Linked DNA regions of Saccharomyces cerevisiae S288C. The gene in region 1 interacts genetically with each later gene. Each region holds a gene or a part of one and is shown on either strand. Other genes may lie near its edges.

The links. Genes that interact genetically often act in the same process or in processes that back each other up.
Region 2: mutations in PMA2 (region 1) and LEU3 together harm fitness more than expected from each alone (negative genetic interaction), as found in Saccharomyces cerevisiae (2 studies listed by BioGRID).

The regions. Positions count from the first base shown.
Region 1 is NC_001148.4:481,175-484,929, reverse strand, and holds the start of PMA2 (H(+)-exporting P2-type ATPase PMA2), read right to left. Parts: upstream 2,088-3,755; coding exon 1-2,087. Other genes in the region: EGD1 (Egd1p), read left to right, coding at 3,029-3,502. UniProt on the Saccharomyces cerevisiae protein: The plasma membrane ATPase of plants and fungi is a hydrogen ion pump. The proton gradient it generates drives the active transport of nutrients by H(+)-symport. The resulting external acidification and/or internal alkinization may mediate growth responses.
Region 2 is NC_001144.5:1,034,510-1,038,264, forward strand, and holds the start of LEU3 (leucine-responsive transcriptional regulator LEU3), read left to right. Parts: upstream 1-1,583; coding exon 1,584-3,755. Other genes in the region: hydroxymethylglutaryl-CoA reductase (NADPH) HMG2, read left to right, coding at 1-1,255. UniProt on the Saccharomyces cerevisiae protein: Factor for control of RNA levels of a group of leucine-specific genes.

The DNA.
Region 1 (3,755 bases):
AAGAAAACAATATCAGCGGCTGATCTGGCAGCATCGGTAGCACCTTCGACAGCAATACCAGTATCAGCCTTCTTCAAAGATGGGGCATCGTTAACACCATCACCAGTCATAGCAACCAAGTAACCTCTGTTTTGCAAGATTTCAACGACTCTGTATTTATGCTGTGGGAAAACTTCTGCGAAACCATCGGCATTTTCAACAAAATCAGCCAACTCTGAACCAGGCATATCACCTCCACCTCCCAGACCTAACCTTTCTGCGTTATAAATGTTTGTACCAAGTCCTAATTGCCTACACGTTTCTTTCGCGATACCAACAGCGTCACCGGTTAACATCTTGATTCTCAAACCAAGGTTTCTGGCCTCATTGATTGTTTGAGCGGTGTCATCTCTAGGGGGGTCCATACATGGCATAACACCCAAGATTTCCCAGTGACCTTCCCCTCTCTTTCTAGCAACACCTAAAGCACGGAAACCTCTAGAAGCTAGTTCAGCAACCTTATTTTCGTAGTTTTCATGCACATCTTCCGGAATTGGGTGATCTTCTTCAACAGTCTTCAAGACAAACAATGGGGCTCCCTTGACACAAACAATTCTTTCACCTTCTGGGGATTCTACAACAGCGGTAACCTTTTTTGAGACAGGGTCGAACGGATGGAATTCCAAAACTTTGTACTTGGTCAGGGCGTCTTTAGCTTTTGGATACTCAATCAATGACTTCAAAAAAGCCTTATCAATAGCATCCAAACCTTTCTTCTTTCTAGAGGCAGCTAAACAAGCGGTCAACATCAAGTCGTCCGGAGAAACGCCTTCGACAGTGTAGGGTTCGTGTAAAGATAACTTGTTTTTGGTTAAAGTACCAGTCTTGTCAGAACATAAAATCTCAACACCAGCAAGGGATTCAATAGCAGATAACTTTTGAACAATGGCTTGCTTCTTAGCCAAGTAAGCTGCACCGACAGCCATGGTCGTGGTAACAACTGCTGGCAAACCGACTGGGACACCAATGATGGTTATACCCAAAGTATATCTCAAAATGCTTACAATACCGACCGTTCTATAGAAACATGCGGTCCAGACCAACAACAAAGTAGCGATAACTAGAACAAGTAAGATAATACCAATTCCATTCAATACTTCAGTGAAATGGCCCTCTACACCGGAAGCCTGCCCCACTAAGGCGGCAGCCCTACCGACGAAGGTATTGTCACCAGTGGCAGTAACAACCATAAAAGCCTCGCCGGTTTTCACAGTGGATGAGGAGAACACCTCATCACCGTAATGCTTTTCAGCGGCTAAGGATTCACCAGTGATGGCCGATTGATCGATCTGCAAAAAACAGTCTTCAGTGACAATACGACCATCTGCGGGAGCAATTGTGCCACTTTCCAATTGCAAAATCTCACCAGGAACTACCTCATTAGCCGGAATTTCGATCAATTGGCCATCTCTAATAACTGTTGCAGTATTGGCCAACGTCTTTTTCAGCTCGTCTACGATGGAACCTGCCTGGAATTCTTGAATAAATCCGACAGATGCGTTTAATAGCAGTAAAGCACAGATGACACCGACATCAACCCAATCAGACAAACCGGCAGCCAAAATAGCAGCAGCCTCCATAACGAATTGAATAGGCCCTACGAAGAACATCAAAAACTTCACAATCAACGATTCATTCTCCTCAGCCATTTGATTTAACCCATATTTCTTTCTTCTCCTGGCGACTTCATCCGAAGTCAAACCATACGCAGGGTCCGTAGAAAGGTCCTTTTCAGGAACAACCCTTTGGCCAGCGTGCACCCCATCAGTACGTACTTCTTCTTCACCAGATTCATCACCCTCACCGTAGTTAGATTGTAGTTCATCAATCAATTGGTCTATATCTTCATCTGAGTCAGAATCATCAGCGGCAGAAGCGGCTGCGGCCTTCCGTGGAACGGCTGCAGCCGATGACGAGGCGGAAGTTGATGTAGAAGACGAAGATGACGAAGAAGCGGCAGAATTATTTGCAGGGTCATCGCCATCACTGGCATGGAGGTACTCTTTCGAGGGTTTCTCCTTGTATTGCTTTGCTTCAGTGGAAGACATAACGCAAAACAGTTTCCTTTTGCTTAAATTGTACTAGCACACAGCAACGAAAAATGAAAAAAAAAAAGTTATGGGTATGTTTAAAAAAGCCCAGTAGCTTGGATACAGTAGGTTATCCAGCAAGAAATGCTGGAAGAAATAATAGATGGTAAAAGAGGATATTACACACCTTTATATAACGAAGTACCATCACACCGCCAATTACGTTTAGGGGACGCCGACAAGAAGTAAATTCACTATTATGTACTTACAAATATGTTTCCACCGATAACCTTTCCCCCTTCGACGGTTATTTGAGCAGCGTCTGTCCGCCATTTTTCCAGAGAAGCTACTTCATCAATCAATTGACTTCGCAATTCCCTTAAACAAAAAAAATTTCTTTTGCCCTCCCTCGACGATTTTGGAGTAGAGAATACCTTAGGCCTTTTTTTTTCTTTTTTCTCACGGCTGCTCTTCCTCTTTTTCGCATATTCTATTTTATCATCGACTTCCCTAATTCGCACTCGTACCAAAATGTTAAGCAGTATGGCGAAGAACGTGGCGCGCTGGAGTCGTGAATGTTTGGGTCCTTGATGATGGACTACGGTAGTAAGTATGTAGTAGTTGCAACTTCATATGTTCACTTCTGATCCAAGGAAGAGCGGTTATGAATTAATCTCTTGGCATGAGCGGACGGGTAAGGGGACACCGCCTTTTCTTCGATGGGAATCAGGGTAATGGTATATGATGGATTATTGTGGAATCATTTAGTACGGCAGATGTTGAAAAAAAAAGCAGAAAATTTTTGAATTTTTTTCGTTGACATTGGAAGATTTCGTAGTGGAAACAGCTGCAATTGCTTGTTAAGTAGTAACCCCTCCTTTGTCACAAGAGAGCGAATATTCTTTCTAGGGAGGTTTAAGAATAGAACATCTCACACCAGACGCGACTCATAATTCATAATGCCAATTGACCAAGAAAAATTAGCTAAGCTACAAAAGTTGTCTGCTAACAACAAAGTTGGTGGTACTAGAAGAAAGCTTAACAAGAAGGCAGGCTCTTCTGCCGGTGCCAACAAGGATGACACCAAGTTGCAAAGTCAATTAGCTAAGTTGCACGCTGTCACCATTGACAACGTCGCCGAAGCCAACTTTTTCAAGGACGACGGTAAGGTCATGCACTTCAACAAGGTCGGTGTCCAAGTTGCTGCTCAACACAACACTTCTGTATTCTACGGTCTACCACAGGAAAAGAACTTGCAAGATTTGTTCCCAGGTATTATCTCTCAATTGGGCCCTGAAGCCATCCAAGCCTTGTCTCAATTGGCTGCCCAAATGGAAAAGCACGAAGCCAAGGCTCCAGCTGATGCTGAAAAGAAGGATGAAGCTATTCCAGAGTTAGTTGAAGGTCAAACTTTTGATGCTGACGTCGAATAAATAACTTAATCTTTAATTTTAACGTTAAATAAAAAAACACATATTTTGTTCCATTTTTTTTCATTTTTTTTAGCATATCTAAAGCATATAATACAAACACTGTTTTCTGCAAAAAAAAAAAAATAAAAAATAAAATATAAAAAAACAATATACCACACTATGCTGCACACGTGAAATGATGAACTTGTACGTCACCACTTTGTGCGCAAAAAATTGGCAAAAGTAGAGAACATGTCACTAACTGTATCGGAAT
Region 2 (3,755 bases), on another chromosome or scaffold:
ATATTCCTTAGAGAAAAAATTAGAGGACACAACTCGTGCGGTTTTAGTTAGGAGAAAGGCACTTTCAACTTTGGCTGAATCGCCAATTTTAGTTTCCGAAAAATTGCCCTTCAGAAATTATGATTATGATCGCGTTTTTGGAGCTTGCTGTGAAAATGTCATCGGCTATATGCCAATACCAGTTGGTGTAATTGGTCCATTAATTATTGATGGAACATCTTATCACATACCAATGGCAACCACGGAAGGTTGTTTAGTGGCTTCAGCTATGCGTGGTTGCAAAGCCATCAATGCTGGTGGTGGTGCAACAACTGTTTTAACCAAAGATGGTATGACTAGAGGCCCAGTCGTTCGTTTCCCTACTTTAATAAGATCTGGTGCCTGCAAGATATGGTTAGACTCGGAAGAGGGACAAAATTCAATTAAAAAAGCTTTTAATTCTACATCAAGGTTTGCACGTTTGCAACATATTCAAACCTGTCTAGCAGGCGATTTGCTTTTTATGAGATTTCGGACAACTACCGGTGACGCAATGGGTATGAACATGATATCGAAAGGTGTCGAATACTCTTTGAAACAAATGGTAGAAGAATATGGTTGGGAAGATATGGAAGTTGTCTCCGTATCTGGTAACTATTGTACTGATAAGAAACCTGCCGCAATCAATTGGATTGAAGGTCGTGGTAAAAGTGTCGTAGCTGAAGCTACTATTCCTGGTGATGTCGTAAAAAGTGTTTTAAAGAGCGATGTTTCCGCTTTAGTTGAATTAAATATATCCAAGAACTTGGTTGGATCCGCAATGGCTGGATCTGTTGGTGGTTTCAACGCGCACGCAGCTAATTTGGTCACTGCACTTTTCTTGGCATTAGGCCAAGATCCTGCGCAGAACGTCGAAAGTTCCAACTGTATAACTTTGATGAAGGAAGTTGATGGTGATTTAAGGATCTCTGTTTCCATGCCATCTATTGAAGTTGGTACGATTGGCGGGGGTACTGTTCTGGAGCCTCAGGGCGCCATGCTTGATCTTCTCGGCGTTCGTGGTCCTCACCCCACTGAACCTGGAGCAAATGCTAGGCAATTAGCTAGAATAATCGCGTGTGCTGTCTTGGCTGGTGAACTGTCTCTGTGCTCCGCACTTGCTGCCGGTCACCTGGTACAAAGCCATATGACTCACAACCGTAAAACAAACAAAGCCAATGAACTGCCACAACCAAGTAACAAAGGGCCCCCCTGTAAAACCTCAGCATTATTATAACTCTTGTAGTTTACATGGTGATACTTTATATCTTTGTATTGTCTAGCTATTCTAAATCATCTGCATGTAATAAGAAGTTGATCAAAATGACTCGCTGCGTAAAACCTCTCTTCGATCGGAGGTGCCGCCTAATTTATCGCCTAGCACTGCGCTTTTTCAAAGTTTTTCAGAGCAAAAAATGAAAAGTAATGAGCACAACAATAGAAGAGTATCATGATATATAAGGTCATAAAACTAGGTTTCAGGGGCTATCGGCAATTTGAGGAACCTTCAACCTGCCTCAAGTAAAAATCGCTTCGTAACATTAATACAAATTCTTTTTGCAATTATGGAAGGAAGATCAGATTTTGTGGCGACTTCACAGTCCGGAAGTGAAATGAGCCATAGTGAAACTAGGAATAGAACTGGGATGAATGCTAGGAAAAGGAAATTCGCCTGTGTGGAATGTCGTCAGCAGAAGTCGAAATGTGATGCTCACGAAAGAGCACCGGAGCCATGCACTAAGTGTGCTAAAAAGAATGTCCCATGCATTTTAAAACGAGATTTCAGAAGAACTTATAAAAGAGCAAGGAACGAAGCCATTGAAAAAAGATTCAAGGAACTCACCAGAACTTTGACAAATTTAACTTCGGATGAAATTTTGAAGAAAATTGAAGAGGAACAGGAAATTGTTTTGGATAACAGTAATTTCACAAAAGAAAAAGTAAAACAACTCAGGAAGAGTGCTTTTGAGACGACAGAAATAGAACCGAGATCATACAAAACACTTCGAGGAGAACCTATTTCTTACAGTACCAACAGAAGACATACGGATTCTTCTCCTTTAACGCTCTTAAGCTCGTCGACAAACTTCGACCCTGTTCACTCAACAAACGTTATGACAGATGATCAACTTAAGTGCTTGCCAAAAAGCCTGGGCGACGTATATTTGTCAAGCAGCGATATTGCTGAGCTGTTTCAAGAATTTGCGACAAAATATCATCAATTTTTACCCGTCGTTGACCTTTCGAAAGGAGCAGAGCGAATTTATCACTTATCTCCTTGCTTATTCTGGGTCATCCTGCTCATTGGTTTAAGGCGGAAATTTGGGGCTACAGACTTAATGACTCGATTATCAGTGCTAGTAAAGTCAGTTTTATCAGAAATCACAATATCTCCAATAATTCGATATACTCCATCAGATAAGGACGAACCCGTTCTAAATGTAGCATCTGTATATTCCGTGCAAGCATTTCTTTTATACACGTTCTGGCCTCCCTTAACCTCTTCATTAAGCGCCGACACTTCGTGGAATACCATAGGAACAGCGATGTTCCAAGCGCTTCGGGTAGGACTAAATTGTGCAGGTTTTTCAAAAGAGTATGCTTCGGCAAATTCAGAATTAGTTAACGAGCAAATACGAACTTGGATTTGCTGCAATGTTGTATCTCAAACAGTTGCATCATCATTTGGTTTCCCAGCTTATGTTTCATTTGATTATTTAGTAATCAGCTCTATTAGAGTACCAAATTCAAAAAGCCAAGTAGATATACCCAATGAACTAAGACAAATGGCTCAAATTGCTAGATTTGAGAACCAAATCGTAAACACAATGAACTCCACCCCGGCGAGTGTTACTGGGATGGTAAGTCAGGAAGAGAAGCAGCCCTTGTTACACGTTCTTAATCAACAACTAAGTCAATTGGAGATTAGTCTTGAAGAAAATAACCTAGATGATATCCGAAAATTTTTATTACTAGTGGCCAAGGTTCACTTATTAACCTATTACTTCACTGATGTTACCTCCCAAAGTGCTGGAAAATCAAATGGTAATATTTATGAGGGATCATATTCCATTATGGAACTCGATACAAGTTTTGAAACGAAACGTGGATTGGTGAAAGTTTATAATGCCGCCGTAAACTTTCTTATACATGCCAATAGTATGTGGGAACATGATCCTACCATTATTAAGTACTTTCCTGGTTTGTTTGTCTTGAATATATGGCAATCTGCCTGTATTATTAGTAAACTCATACATTCATCACTTCATTCAATGCTAGATGTTAACTCAGGCAAAAAAGCTTATAACAACGCAATTTCATTGACGTTTAATGCCTCAGTTTTAAAATATGATATGGCGTACAGATCATCCGGAATAATGCGAAGCATATGGAGTTTATTTGCTAATATGTATGATGCCTGGAAAAACGACCAAAAGGAAGGTGGAGGTAGACTAAATAATGATTTCAATTTAGGCATCACCATAAAATCTAGGATGTCAGTAAACGTTTTTTTTGACTGCTTATATATTCTAAAAGAGAAATGTGGTATGGCCAAATTGGAGAGAGAGACCAAGGTTTCTACAGCTTACAATGTTGATGAAGAGGAAGAGGAAGATGAAGATGAGGAGGGAGAAGAAGAAGAAGAAGAAGAAGAACTAAGTAGTAAAGTTCCAGAAAATATGGATAGCCAGCAACTAAGGACAAGGAAATTCACCAATGTAAGGCATCCAGAAAAG